2 linked regions of the Schizosaccharomyces pombe genome follow. The protein of the gene in region 2 interacts with the protein of the main gene of each other region in a pairwise test. Each region holds a gene or a part of one and is shown on either strand. Other genes may lie near its edges.

Evidence for each region. The genes of interacting proteins can lie anywhere in the genome.
Region 1: the proteins of sed5 (region 2) and sly1 interact in a two-hybrid assay, tested with the Schizosaccharomyces pombe proteins (one large-scale study listed by BioGRID).

The regions. Positions count from the first base shown.
Region 1 is NC_003421.2:1,919,357-1,925,973, reverse strand, and holds sly1 (SNARE-binding protein Sly1), read right to left. Parts: upstream 2,815-6,617; 5' UTR 2,778-2,814; coding exon 2,726-2,777; intron 2,663-2,725; coding exon 2,394-2,662; intron 2,293-2,393; coding exon 1,205-2,292; exon of another isoform or gene 1,163-1,204; coding exon 1,054-1,162; exon of another isoform or gene 1,001-1,053; coding exon 599-1,000; 3' UTR 501-598; downstream 1-500. Other genes in the region: ppn1 (cleavage and polyadenylation specificity factor complex-associated protein), read left to right, coding at 1-228; mug24 (rrm type RNA-binding protein), read right to left, coding at 4,728-6,617.
Region 2 is NC_003423.3:1,379,124-1,388,094, reverse strand, and holds sed5 (SNARE protein Sed5), read left to right. Parts: upstream 1-2,999; 5' UTR 3,000-3,066; coding exon 3,067-3,265; exon of another isoform or gene 3,266-3,356; coding exon 3,357-4,087; 3' UTR 4,088-4,388; coding exon of another isoform or gene 4,389-4,536; 3' UTR 4,537-4,587; coding exon of another isoform or gene 4,588-5,324; 3' UTR 5,325-5,369; coding exon of another isoform or gene 5,370-5,697; 3' UTR 5,698-5,786; coding exon of another isoform or gene 5,787-5,854; 3' UTR 5,855-5,896; coding exon of another isoform or gene 5,897-5,971; 3' UTR 5,972-6,185; downstream 6,186-8,971. Other genes in the region: SPOM_SPBC8D2.16C (uncharacterized protein), read left to right, coding at 1-348; lipoic acid synthetase Lip5, read right to left, coding at 644-1,708, 1,750-1,797; box H/ACA snoRNP assembly protein Shq1, read right to left, coding at 4,389-4,536, 4,588-5,324, 5,370-5,697, 5,787-5,854, 5,897-5,971; tac1 (cytochrome C oxidase subunit I translational activator), read left to right, coding at 6,496-6,595, 6,952-7,015, 7,080-7,797; SPOM_SPBC8D2.11 (uncharacterized protein), read right to left, coding at 8,135-8,503. UniProt on the Schizosaccharomyces pombe protein: Required for vesicular transport between the endoplasmic reticulum and the Golgi complex. Acts as a target organelle soluble NSF attachment protein receptor (t-SNARE).

The DNA.
Region 1 (6,617 bases), on a different chromosome or scaffold from region 2:
CCTGCTCACATCAAGCTAGTCTCGTCTGACACTCAAGCAACAACTGAATTGGGATTTAATGGTTTAGTGCAGCAAGTTTCTGAAAATAACACGAATGCATACTCAGCTACTTCGAATTCGCAATTAAGTTCAATTTTTTCTAATTTGTCATCTTCTATATCAGATGCTTCATCAAACGTTTTACAAAATCCATCTCTTTCGATACCAAATTACTCGAATGCTATATAAACTGAAGATTTTCACAACTTACATATTTTAAGCCATGTCTAACTTAAGTTATAACTGAGAATCTTATGAATTATATGTTTTTGAAATTTTTTTTTGTTAATTTTTTTTTTTTTTTTTTTGTTTGAGTTTTAGAACAGCAATTACATTTTCTTTTTTCTGTTCCCTCAGCTCTTGGTCTGAAAGTATATGTCGTTTACAAATAACCGCGATTTGCGTATAATGAACATTGATGCTTTCCAAATTTTCAATACGATGATGGACTACACAAATTCGACAAAAAAGTCATGTATCAAATTAAGAGTAAATCATTTATTTCATACAATATTGGCTGAACAAACATGATGGCCAAAAAATAAAACTAAATAATTTTTTAAGATAGAGAAGCCATTTCTTCCATAAATTCAGATGGCGATAATATGTCGGTACTACCGTATATGATACGCTTCTTAGGATTTTGTTCACGCGCCCAATCAGCCAGATTACCATATTCTAAATAATTACCACCTCCTAGTACGCAAACAATTGCTTCACTAAAAGTCTGTCTTTTGTTCATGGCCCTAGGATCATTGTTTACAGTAATAGCACGAGCTGATTTGGGATCTAATAATAGATAAGACTCTGTTTGTTTGGAGGCAGGAGAAGAGCCAGGGTCCATTAGACTCTGAACAATAGATGTAATAGTCCCATCCTTCCTGAAGGGAATCAGATTTCTAACCCCCGAAATAATATTTTCAAGGCCACCAATACCGGCTTCTTTAAAGCGGTCGGTAAACTAAAAACAATTAATATGTGCTTTAAGGTGAAAAAGTGTCAAACTATTCTTACCCTTGTGGAAAGACTGCTAAATCCACGAAATAAATTATCTCCTGTTTGACCCGTAGCTGGTCTTGTGGTAGAAGATGCTAACATGGTCATTTTAGTTATTTCACGAACCCTAATATAAGTTAGAAAAAACCAATAACATCAATCAGTATACCTCTTAACAAAATTTAATGCTTCTAATGTACAGCCATTGTTAACCAACGCCTCTTCATATGCCTGCAAATCAGAAGCCGGTACGGAATCAACACTTAAATACCAAATTATAAAAAATCGTAGCTTGTCTTCGGGAGTTCCTTGTTCCTTGTTATTGATGCAAGCGAGAATGGCACTTCTGTTTAGTCCAGTTATATTATCTTCTAACTGAAAAAAGTCATCTAAATGGCGCTCTTGAATAGCTTTTAATAATGCAGTTGCTATATTCATATGCATGTCAAGGATTTGTTTACGAGCTGTAAGCTCTGGGAGCAAGCTAACTGCACTTTTTAAATAAGTCGAATCAGCAAATGCGTCAACATTAACTTCTTCAAGTGAAGAAACACCGGATTTTCGGGTAATTTCACTAGCATCATTTTTATATCGAGTCAACTCTTCATCAATGTTTTCGGCAACTTTAGGAAATGGTTTGCTAGCATTACTTTCCCAGAAAAAATCATTTCCATCTAAATCGTAAAACCGCTTTGTCATTTTTCCATCATCGACTGACTCTACGGTAATCCTATTGAGTTGCATATTTAGGGTATCATGAATCAAAGCTTGGTAAGTCCAAGAATGATTTATCATTGGAATCAAATCGACCGTTCTATCCAGTAAAATAAGAATTGGCCTTGGTTTTGGATTAACAGAAACAAAAGCATCCTTGGTATTCATTAAATGGTCCTTTAGACGTTGATTCAACTTTTGGGCAACCATCTCAGCAGCCGATCCTTGTGGGCAACGAATGATAGGAATGGTTCCGAGTGTAACGATCACTGAAAAGAGACCATTTACAATATCCTGAACGCGTGAATTAATGAGAGCCTCATCTGAAGACGGGTTATGGAACGTATGAAAGATTTTGGGCAGTTGAAGAGAAAAAAAATCACTTTCTAACACAACATAATTAAGATACTGGTCATACACTTGATGAATCATGTGACTTGTATTTGTTTTCGACGCCAATTCGGCAAACTGTTCCAGAAGAGCACGAGAAATGGTAGATGAAAAACAGACATAGGCTGATTCGTAAAGACCCTTCGAAAGATCCTTTAAAATATGTTAGCTTGCTGAACTGTAATACAAAAAAGTATTTGGTATCCGACAATAAGATTAATTGATTGAAAATTATGATACTGAGAAATCCATACCTCTATTATTAGCTCAATGTTTTCTTGAGTAGGTTGAACAAAGTAAATAGCTGGGACATCAGCAATAGGCTGACGAAACGAAGTGATATTCATGTGAACCGTAACGCCATGTTTTCTGAGATCACTAATTCTGAGAACAGAAGAAATAGTCTCCGACCCTGCCTTATCGAAGATTAAAACTTTCCAAATGGGAAAATTAGAGGCATGTTGAGGGCTTGATTCAAGTTCGTTGACGTCTTGGTTCAAATTAAGCAGTTTTTCTAAAGATTCTAAAGGTTCATATTAGCAATGCTTACTGAGAATTATACAGTTTTATTAGCAACACTACTTACGAATTTGAGCTTCTCTCAAAGAAGACGGTGTTTTTACAGATGCAATAGACATCGTGCCAATTCCAACTTTGGCACTAATATAAGCACTTAGAAGGATGATTTGTGTTGAGGGATAAACATAAGAATCATACCCTTCATATGGTGGTGTATGGCAGTGAAGCGAGTCTCGCTAAATGTTCAAAAAGGTAAACAACAAAATAAATATTGAGGTTTGGCTGTTTTACCAAATCTTGTAGTCTTCAATCTTTACTAAAGATTTCTGATTTTCATTAAATTTTTAGATATTTAAAAAAACAGTACTAGTGCACCGGAAACATTCAAAGCGTAGGAAGGAAATCAATCTTGCGTTCAGTAGTTTACTTTTCTAAGATTTAATCTCAGCTTTCTAACTGTGCTTACATTACATATATTTCTAAGAGGTGTTCTTACTTTACTATTTACTTATAAAGATACAATTATTAAAAGAGTATCCAAACGCAAAAAGCTCTTAATTATGAATTTAGCCATTAATGATTTGCATATTCTAAGTGTCTAGGATCATATACGATGGCTAAAGTTGCTCATGGGATCAAATAAGTAGAAGGCATGTCTTCGTTTATTTTTTTAGACTGAATTAAACAAAATATGAAATTATTCATTGATCATTATGATGATAATGATACCGTAGACCTAATCATCGTAATAGTAATTAATTAACAGCAATGATGGATGGAAAATATAATTAAACAATGTATTGATGGAAGGAATTGGGCAAAGTAAACCGAAAATATGACAAAGAAGGTGTCGGACTCGAATAATGATAATGATAAAACAAAAATCTCAAAAAAAACGGAATAAGGACAAGGATAGTGATGACAAAATGAAATGACAGAACGATTATGATAACAAAAAACGGTAGTAAGCAAAGTGTTGGGAGTAACGTCAATAATTGAGCTTTGAAAGAAAAGAAAATGGTGAGTACGTTAATCCTAGAATAGTAAAAGCAAGAATAAGCGATAAATATGGAAGCTCAAGAAAAAAATAAAATTAGTGTGATCAAGCTGAATGCTATCAAGAAAGCAAATGGTAAACGAACTGGTGATGGGGTCGATGGAATGATAGAATGAAGATAGTCAATTAATTGGTTGTGAACAAAGGATAATAGTGATCATGACGAGGAACAATAACAATGATTCTGGAAAGCTGAGCTGTAATCAAACGGGAGAAATAGTAAAGAATTCGTCAGTGGATAGTACAATGATAATGTGTATAAGTGAGAATAGTTGGTTTAATGATAGCAAGCTGGAAAAATGCAAAATTGGCTGGTGGGTTAGCTTAAAACCGGCATCAACGGAAACAGTAGCAAATGGGAAAATATTGTGGTAATAGTAAAAAATGGATAATGGTAAATGAACAAACTACCCATGAAGTAACGGATCGAGAAGGGTTCATGAATTCATCAGCAAGAAGTAAGTAATCTTTAATAGGTAAGAAAAGTAAAAGTTCACAGACCGGCTTCTCTTAGTGATAGAAGAATGGTTTGAAAAACTAATTGACACATTGAATGAATAAAACTCTGCTCAGAAGGTTGAAGGTAATTTTTCTTTAAAGACAAAAAATTACATAATTTAAAAGAAGACATTGGAAATCACGGAAGAGTAGTAATGTGACAAAGCAAAAAAATTTCAAATTTGGGTGGGAAACAATCAAAACGTGTAAAAACGATAAATCAAAAACTTTCAGTAATAAGGTTTAATTAGAGTCAAGAATAAAAAGAGTTTTTTTTCTGAATTTTTTCTTTTTCAATTTTTTTTGGAATTTTAGATTTTTTTAAGGCAATGTTTAGTTAGGTTTGGACAATTTTCAAGTTTTTTTCAGAGGAGTTAGTGTTAAGTTTTTGGGAGTCTCTGTTACAAACTAAATTTGCATGCTGAGTGAATACCCGTAGAATTGAGAATAAGCAAAAATAAATGGAAACATACTGACTTGCTGATGAACAAAAGTTACTTCGCGAGTATTGGAACTAGTCGTTTTCGTGGTCGGATGTTTGAGGATAGTTCGGAACATTGCAGTTGAAAGGAAAAGAGGGAACGGCTGTAAAGGGGATAAAGGGCTGATACTGGATACCAAAATTTAATATTGGATCCGAACCTGGAGGAATTGCTGGACAATAAGCTACAGGATATGAAAACGGTGGAGTAATAAATTGCTGCAATGGAACATTCTGTTGGATAGGAGAGTTGGATTTAGACTTTTGAAGCTCTTGTTCGCATCTATCAGGAGCATAGCGGATTTTGCTCTTCTTGAACAAAGGATGTATAGGCAAGCCATTGACAGCCTTCATGGCATTAGATATATTTGTATAGGCAACGAATCCAGAACTTCTATTTTTTAAATATTTAATTGATTCAATCTCTCCATACTGACGCAGTATGAGCTCTAACTCTTCGGTAGTAAGTGAATCTGATATATGGCTGAAGTAAACATTTCTGGAAGCGCCCATCAATATAGAATCTTCTAAAACTCTGGGCAAAGGTCCACTTTCTTTACCCCATCCTACTTTAATTCTTCGACCGTGTAATAAAACTTCTTCCTCAGCCAAGTAGTCGTGGAAAGCGTTGGCGGCCGAATACGTTATAAATGTAACGAAGCATATATGTTTTTCAGGAATATAGTGGAAGTCTTGTAACCCTCCATGTCGGATTAGATCGCATATTTCATGTCCTTTAGTCTTAGTATGGAGATTGCCAAGGAAGACAGTACGGTTTCCATTGTCTTTTGATTCCTGCTGCCTGCAACGGTCAGACGTGGTATCCGGATTTTGCTTGGAAGTGAAACATGACCTTTCATCAAATGAAGGTGGATGATTTGCACAGCGATCTGAGCCAAAAAATATTCGCCATGAGTGATAGTCAGGATCGCAAGATAAGGTACGAACAACCTTGATTGCGTCGCGGATGTTCAAAAAGTGAACAAAAGCAATATTCTTTTTCGAGAGGATTTTTATGTGCTCAATCTTGCCGAATTTACCAAACGCTTCTTCAATTTCCTTCTCGTGATAAGAAGAAGGAAGATTGCCGATGAACACATTACGGCTGGCCGCAGTGTTCGAGCAAAAATTTTGAATCGATTCAGGTAAAGGAGAAGGTCTAGCAAATGTCAATTTGAGTGGCCTACCATGAAAAATGAATCCACGAGGATGGTACCTTTCATAAAAGAAAAAGGCATCAGCAGAATCAAGAAATGTAATTATAATCCTGCGTTTTCCAGGGTTGGACTGAATCTTCTCTAATGGTCCAGAGTGGATAAGCGAAAGTAATTCGGAAATTTTGTAGTCAACTGGCAAGTTACCAAGGATTAAAGCACGAAAATCTAACAAGGATTCGTATTCTGAATTGAATGGTGAAAATTGCTCCGCAGGTTGTTGGGCAAACGGAGGAGGAGTACCTTCTCGAGGTAGGAAATTTGGACGGTTTACAGGTTTTGCATGATACATATTGTCGGTATAGTGGGCATAGGGCATCGGTATGAAGGTGTTTGCTGAAACATACATGTTGGGGTAATAGGTTGAAGGTGGAGAAGGATAAATGACTGAAGAAGAGTCCTGGTCAAAATGAGGATAACAAGGAGAATCGAGTTGTTCGGGAGGGGGATTCATTGATTTAGGAGCATACCCATTATGAGATTTCGGAATAAATTCTGCGGCATTGATGTTTACATGGAAAGAAGGATTAGGTGAAAGATTTTTGTGCTTTTTACCACCACAGTCAAGGTTGGTACATTCATTATTGTCCACTGAATTAAGACTACTGTTATCATCTTCTGAATCATTTAAAGTGCAAATGCTGTTGGCCGTGCCAGTACTTCCTGTCTCTTGAAAGCAGCAATCACTATCAACGAAGTGACCGTTGTT
Region 2 (8,971 bases):
GAAAAAGGTGGTCATTATTGGGGTTACAAGGTGCGGTCATGTCTTTCTTCTCAGCTGTGTAAAAGTTCTCCTTACAAAGGTGGATATGACTTTGTTGTTCAAATCAACAGTCAGACTTCAGCTATTACTTCAAAAGAGTTAGAAGCGAGTTTACCAAGTTCGTTTCGGCATGCTGTTCTTGTTTTACAAGACAATGTCGTACAAAAAGAGCTCGTAGACTCCACTGCCAAAAGTATTTCTTTTAACCCATTCCCAGTTTCTTTTCTAAATGATCCCATTCCTGAAGAGATACTTTTGGCGGCCATGACCCGTTTGTCAGATATGTTGCTGATGCATGGACGACGATAAAGCCTAAATACTTACAAAGGTGAAGCTGTCTTTTTCTTACTTAAATATTATAAAGCTGTCTCGCTAATCAAGGAAAACAAAATCAATTTTGAATATGATAAATTATAAGGATAACTTGGGTATAAAGACGATATTAGAAACTAAGACGAGAATTATTATGATTAAAATTATATCTAAGAGTGTATTGTTGAAATAAAGAATAAAAAAATTTAAAAGATGATTCGAGTCAATGCAAAAAAGGGTAATTCTGTTGAAGACAAACTCCTATCGAGTGTACCTAGATAAGCAGCCATGTTTAAACACTCATAGAAGCAGGGTTTCCTGATCTCTTTTTAATAAGATTCTCCATAAAATATTCGCCAGCCTTATAGCTACTACGAACAAGTGGACCACTAGCCACGTATAAGAATCCTAATTTCTCTGCCACTTCTTTCCAATATTCAAACTTCTTAGGATGTACATACTCTTGCACTTTTAGGTGTCGTTTGGTAGGTCTCATATATTGACCAAAGGTAACGACATCTACATTATGTTCCAGGAGATCCTTAAGAGTTGTTAGAATTTCCGCATCGGTTTCACCTAGACCAAGCATAATACTGGTTTTAGTGATAAGGTGAGGACATGTTTTCTTCACATGTTTTAGCACGCTCAGACTTTGTCGATATGTGGCTCGTCGATCTCGAACAAATGGGGTAAGTTCCTCTACCGTTTCTACATTGTGTGCAAAGACGTCCAAACCAGATTTAGCTACAATCTCAACCAAATCCATTCTTCCACTAAAATCGGGGGTCAAAGCTTCTACCAAGATGTGCGGGGCTTTTTCTTTAATTTTTTGAATCGTTTTTGCTATATGATTGGCACCAAGGTCAGTCAGGTCATCTCTATCGACACTAGTGAGAACAATGTACCCAAGGTTCCATTGTTTGATGGCTTCTGCTGTATTTTCAGGCTCGTTGGGATCTAAAGGACCTGGACGGCGACTGGTCTTTACCGAACAAAAGCGACATCCACGAGTACAAGTATCACCCATAAGCATGATCGTAGCTGTGGCACGAGATTTGTCTTTACCTCCCCAGCATTCTCCAATATTCGGACATTTCGCTTCTTCACAAACCGTATGGAGATGAGATCCCCGCAAATCATGCTTTATTCGGTTAAAATTTGTTCCTAGTGGAACTTTGGTTTTAAGCCATGAAGGCAATCTTTTGTGTATAGAGCCATTTGGTAGCTCTACTTTTCTATCTAACTCGAAAGCTTCGTCAGCAGTCAATGGTTTATCCATGTTCAAGAAATCTGCAAATGATGGTCCTTTCGCCAACTTTTCTGAAAACCCTCCAGATTGAAACCTCACGGAGGCAAACTATGCTATATTAATAAAACTATAAATAAAAGAAAACTCACCCAAAAATTGTTTTTTAATATCGTAGCATTTCGACCTATTTTCAACATTGCTGTGTAGAGGAAGTAAGGACTATTAGACAGTATGGGATTGGATATAAAGTACTAACCTTACTACTACCTATTATCCGTGTTAGCCCATCAATAGAAAACAGATGTTTTAAACGTTATTTTACCTATTAAACAGTCTCCTTCATAATTCGAAGTTTCGTTTTTTTTGTTGAATACGACTCAGTTTGTGGACAATTGTAAGAAAATTCAAAACATTAAACCAAGCTGTTTACCATAGTTTTGGACACTAATCAGCCAAACTACAAGCGTAAAGTAAAGATATAATTGAATATTTTTTTCAAATAAACTCTCAAAATTTTGTGGTCTCACGTACTATGGTAAATTTCTCGTCATAGGGATTCTCCTATTTTTTGAGTGATTTTCAAAACTTTAGCTTCCTATTATGAATATGTATAGTATGTTTCTGCAAGGTCACTTTGATTTCGACTTCGATTTACTCATTTATGAAAGCCCTGTAAAAACAGGCCTAGACAGATTTTCTATGTAACCTTTTAATTTTAGAGACACATATGAGTATATTTGAAACTTTTTTTGAAAATAATGCTTCTCTTCTTTAACAGCTTCCGTCTTTTTTATGCGTGATTTACAAAATCTCAAGTAAGAATTTTTTCTATTTATTTTCGCATGAGCAATGCTTGACATAAAACGAATTAAGCTGGTTAAAGATTGCTAAATGATATTTGAGAGCAGCTTTGTGCACTCTTTTTCAAGCATTCTCTCATAACTTTTAGCTAGTGCATCTTGTAGTGAATTTAACTTTTGGTTTCTACCTTGGAGGTTGTGGAATGAATTGTTACTAGTATGTCTATTATTAAATGAGAAATACTCAAACTCAGCTTCAATGAAATAGAGATAGATCATGATCAATGGCTGCAAAAGCGAGGTGGCATAACAACCCAAAAGCCATTTGTTTTGGTTTAATTAAATACCCATTGCTTACTTAAAAGGATCTTTACTCTAACGTATAGATATATTTCTTAAAAACGATCAAAGTTTCGTTAGTCTACACCCTAGGTTTCTATTCACAATGTAGTGTGATTTAGGCCAAAATTTAGATAGAAACTAAAAAGTAACTACAAAATAATATTTGAATAAAAAAACTAGATTCTCAAGTTTCTTTCTTTACTGGACGATATTTCGTCCTATGCATTATATTGCCAACCCTTGCTATAAACCAGCTACCTATCTCCACACCACACATCAATTTCTATAAAGTACTCAACTTGAGGACCTTAAGACTAAATATTCATGTCATTTCAAGATAGGACTGCTGAATTTCAAGCATGTGTCACGAAAACTCGATCTCGTTTGAGGACAACGACTGCAAATCAAGCAGTAGGTGGTCCCGATCAAACCAAGCACCAAAAGAGCGAATTTACAAGGATAGCCCAAAAAATTGCTAACCAAATTAATCAAACTGGCGAAAAGTTACAAAAGCTATCACAACGTAAGTATTTAGCTTATTGGGCATAGTCACAAACGAACGTTGCCTAAGTCTTTTCAAATCAAATGGTTAAGTATGGCTAACATTTCTTTAGTTGCAAAAAGGAAGACTTTGTTTGACGATCGGCCAGTAGAAATTCAAGAACTAACATTTCAAATTAAGCAAAGCTTATCGTCTTTAAATTCGGATATAGCTTCACTACAGCAGGTTGTTAAAGGAAATCGTAACAAACCTGCCCAAATGAATCAACATAGCGAGAACGTTGTCGTTTCTTTGCAAAATTCTCTCGCAAACACCAGTATGACCTTTAAAGACATTCTCGAAATTCGGACACAAAACATGAAAGCATCCCAGAACCGCACAGAAAAATTTGTTGCCTCGAGTTCCATGAATGCTAACCCCCTTATAAATTCTGGAAACTCGATTTCACCATTTGCTGATTACAATGATCCTAAACCTGAAGCTAATGAAGACTATTTATCCTTGAATCTCGGGGATGGTGCTAACACTCGTTATGAGCAAATGGCCTTACTTGAAAGCCAGACTGATACGTATTCCCAGCAGCGTATGTCTTCTATACAAAACATCGAAAGTACTATTACCGAGTTGGGTGGTATTTTTTCGCAATTAGCACAGATGGTCTCTGAGCAACGTGAAACCGTACAACGGATTGACATGCATACAGATGATATCGTCTCAAATATTGGAAGTGCCCAGAGAGAGATTGTCAAGTTTTATGAACGGATGTCTTCAAATCGAGCACTACTTTTCAAAATTTTCGGTATAGTGATTATATTTTTCCTTCTTTGGGTGCTCGTTACTTGAGTGCAAAAAAACATGCAATCCTCTTTTCTTTTTTTACAAGTCTGTACAAATCTTTTGACATACCGAAAACTATGCCGCCTGTATTTTTCACCCAACTTCATTAATTTTTATCCTTTTTCTACCAATACCGGAATACCTAGTATCCTGTCGATTTAATGCCTTATGGTTTAATCTTTAAATATAGAAATAACACCGAAAAGTTTATTCGTGTCCATCCAAAAATTGTAAATGACTCTTATTAAATACCTGGACCTGTCGTCATTTCATTCCTTTTCCTTATTTGTGGTATCATATTTTTCTTTTATTTCTCTATGGACTCGCTTTCCTCGTCAGAAGCAATAATTGTTTCTTGTACATTTGCTTCGATTTCTTCCAGCGGCCAATTTGTTTCCTCTTTTGTAATTGTACATTCTGAGACTTGATAGGCTAATGCAGCTAGCACATTATCACTAAAATTATTGGTGAGTCTTTAGAAAAAATATGAATTTCAGTTTACTTACTTTGCTGTCTGTATCCAATAAGCATAATCGTTTAGTACTATAGCGTTGTATATATAATAGACATCGTGATGTTCAAAAAGGTTTCGAATACGAAGTAAAACTCTCAATATCCAACGCTTTCCAAGGCTCAAAATCGCATGGGTGTCTTTCCAACAAGTGAGGGCAAGGTCCCAATTTCTATACAAAGGGTATGCCAACGAACGTCTAATACATGCAATAAATATATCTTTGATTGCAAGGAAATTTGTATCGAGACAAGATATCGTGGATGAAAGTGTTCCGATATTCCAACATGATTCAATAGTTGGATCACCCAAAGTAGTCCTATTGTCGTATGCGTATGCAAAAATCAAAGGAACTAAACAAAGATAAACATTCTTCGGATTGTCAATAAGGTAGCTTCGCTTTGGTAATTTGGCTAAAGCTTCTTTTTCTTCGCTTGTAAATTCTAAAAGTCTGTCGGATTTGCCTTGTTGGACCAGCAAAAATTCCCCAATATAATCAGGAATATAATGCAATATTTCATCGATCATCTCCCTGTCATAAAAATCTGCCATATAATGTTCAGCATCAAATTTTTCATCTTCTAGCTGTACACGTATTTCACTTCTCGTAGAAGGAGGAGTTCGCTCTGGTTCAGGAATTTGATTAATTTCATTTCCAACCAAAGCATTATACTTCAGCAGTCCTGAATACTGATTATTGAAACCGTATTGAGACGTAGATGTGTACTGCATCTAATGATAAAGTTAGAATGTCGACAAGTCGCGCAAGAAACAAACCTTTTCATCATCTAACCGTTGCAACAGGCCCCAATCGAAATCGGGATCATCGAAATGAATATTCTGCCAGTCAATTTTAACCTCTTTTTCTTCATCCTTGCTGGCATTTTGCGAAGTTGAAGGTGATGGGGTATCTTCCACTTCCTCGATTAAGGGCTTTTTGACAGGTTCTTTGTTTTGGTTTACAAGTAAAGTAGTTAGTAAATCCAAGTCTGGAAATACTTCTCCAGGAGTCTCCTTGGGAAATTTAATATGCACAAAACCACTTGAAATATCGTATGAAGCGTTAGCCCGATCATCATCTAAAACGTTACCAGGCAGTTCTAGTCTTTGGGAAAAAGTTAGTAAACACTGCTTCAATTTTAATAAGAAATATTTAGATAGCCCAAATACTTATGGGATTTAGAAAAGACTTACTTAAGGAAATAAGGTGCAATGCAAAAGTTCACTTCATTGTTAAAAGCATCAATTTCAACGTTTTTAGCCTGCCTTGGTGAGTTATTACTCGATTAGAATAAGAACCATACCTTTATATACGGAGTATGCACATCTAAATACACAAATTCTTCATCCTGCCTCAATTCAAATTTTGGAGTGATCATTGCAGCTGGATGGTTTTGAATGCATTGCAATTAAAATTTCGGATTGGTCATTATCTTAAGAACTCATTTTCAATTTTTTAAATAGTTTATGAATAAGTTTAGATCACTTAAATTACCGTGAATTTGCAGATTGAGTGACCTATTCTTTAATTAGTTTAGAAACAAAGGACTGTTAGAATCACCATCAATGAAAGATAATGTATTTAATTTGTTCACTAGTTAATGTTTTCAGAACGGGAAGGATTCACGAAATTGTCTTTAGCTGGGAAAGCAATTTGGTCACTTACATGCCCATACTTACAATTTTTAACAACTTAAAGGTTTAAAGTATATGAAGTAGTAAAATATATTATATACGAATTGTTGAATCAATTTATTTCTACTAAAGCAGAAATACTGTTTTCTTTATAGAGATGCTGATTCGAGTGCTAGTATTCCCTACTTCAACTCCCTCTCCTCTCATATCAGTTTTCCTTGTTTTATCCTAATTGTGGTCAGTGGTCACTTCGTAGCATACAAGGATAATGAATGCTTTAAATAAAATACCTTTCACAAGAGCGCTGTATCATTTTTCAAGGTTCCGATCATTCACGACTTCAGGATGGATTATGTCTGGGCATAACAGTAAGTTATTGATTTATAAGCTAGTTATAGTGTTTTTGCTTCTATGAATTTTCAAGATAAAACAAAAGTAAAAAACGAGACCCATTGTAGTAAAGAATGTAGGCTACTCAATGTTGACTATGATTCTTTGCTGAATTACTGGGATCTTTCACATAAGACAGAAGAATTGAAAGTGATAAAATTTGAACTGTATTCATATCCACTTTTATAAAGTGTTCAGTTAATTGCTCGAACATACAATTAAGTGAATGTTCAGGTTTTCTTGCAAACTGGGTTACTGTCAACAACAGTGAATTTATAAGATCCATAGACACTATAATGTTACCAGTTTTATATACGCATATTAACCTTTATAGAGTGGTCAAAAATTAAGCACAAAAAATCGGCGAATGACCAGGCAAGAAGTTTACAAATTGGAAAGTAAGGGCTCGTCTTGTTTCACACTACTATCTAATAACAGTTACTAATATTACTGTGTATCCAGACTTTCACAGGGAATCATTCTAGCAGTTCGACAAGAAGGTGCCAATCCTGAATTGAATATGCGGCTGGCGACACTACTAGAGAGTGCCAAGAAAATATCCATGCCGAAATCTGGTATTGAAAATGCAATTAATCGAGGATTGGGTACGGCTGGAAGTGAAGGTTCGCAAGTTCATTTTATTGAGTATGAAGCAATGCATCCATCAGGAGTCGGTCTTATAGTTGAAGCGGTTACAGACAATCGAGCTCGAGCTGCTTCTTCAATCAAACATATTTTACGAAATCATGGGGCTTCTTTATCGACTGTCAAATTTTTGTTTAGCAAAAAGGGTAAGGTGGAAGTAAATCTTCCTCCAGAAAAACGAGATTCTATGAAATTTGAAGATGTTCTCGACGATGCTATTGAAGCTGGCGCAGAGGACATAGTCAATAGGCCCAAAGAGTACATAGACGAAGAAGATGAAGGTGAATTTTTGATTTTAACCGAGCCCTCTAGTTTAAACCAGGTGGCTCATCATTTTCGATCTAAAAACTATGAAATCAAAGATTCTCGTTTAATCCATATTCCTCTGGAAGAAACGGCTATCGATGTACCTGCAAAAGATTCTGTCAGAGAAGATATTCAAAAATTAATCGACGACTTGTATGAAAACGAGGATGTAATGTTCATTCATTTGAGTATACTGAATTCCCACTTTTTGCCTATTCTTGATGAATAAGGTTAAAAAAAAGAAAATTAAAAAATATGAAACTTTTTTCTCCTTGATGAATCATATAATACTATGAGATTTGATTACTTACAAACTATGAGCTAGTTGCTCTAACGTCTACAAAAACAATGTTGCGATGCAATTAAATTTTTAAATAAATCTATGTGGTTTTTGCTGATCGACTTAAAAAATATGCTCATAAATAAATAGTTCATTATCACCTATTTCATAGACTGGAAAGCATGTAATAATTAAACCTTGTGATAGAAAAGTACAAAAGACAAGTAAAAGTCAAATCTTCAAAATCCATCTTTTCCGGCCTCCATAAAGATTCCAGTCTCATGTTTTATAAGATGTACTCTTGATCCATATCGTCAACAAGAGGATCGTTGGAATCACGCGAAAAAACGGTTGATATACTGGGCGCTAATTGCCTTTGAACAACTTGAGCAGTGGTATTAGTCCTAGGCATGTGAGCACGCTTCCTTTGCCGAAAAGAACCAGCAACCTCGCGCACCAGTACTTCGAAGACTCGATTTACCACTGAGGACTCAGTATCCAAAACTTCGACAAAGTTCTCAAAGCTGAAATTTTCAAGCTGCTCAGGTAATCTTCCATTATAATGTTCAAGCGCTTGATCAATCAGCTTCTTTGTTTTTCTATTGAAATTTGCAACATGGTCGTTTGAACTGGACTCTATTAAAGGGCGTCCCATAACACCAAGATGCTACGCCGACAATTTATTCAAGACCCTCTGAAAATTTCAATACTAATTGAATATGTGATATACGCTGTTTCTAAGGGAGAATCAGGCAGGTCCCACCACCTTGCCTCCAGGCTAAGCAATGATAAATTTCAGTGCACAAATTTGCAATTCGTTACTAACAGGTAACATGTTACCCACACTTGAAGAAAGGGATTGATGCTTACGCTGAAGGATAAAAAGAGGATCCATGAAATTGTGATTTCTATTTGTAGGAATTTCCGTATAGTTCCTTTTAATTTAGGAACAGTTTTTTGATGATCTGTAGTTAAAAATCCGACGGAACTGCGACTTTGACATACTTTCAATGAATTTGAAAATCAATTTATGGAATTCAAAAGGAACGGTAAGCAAGATAAAAGTCAAAACGTAAAAAGGGGAGAAAGATATAAGCTTTGAATTTCTCTTCACCACTATGTG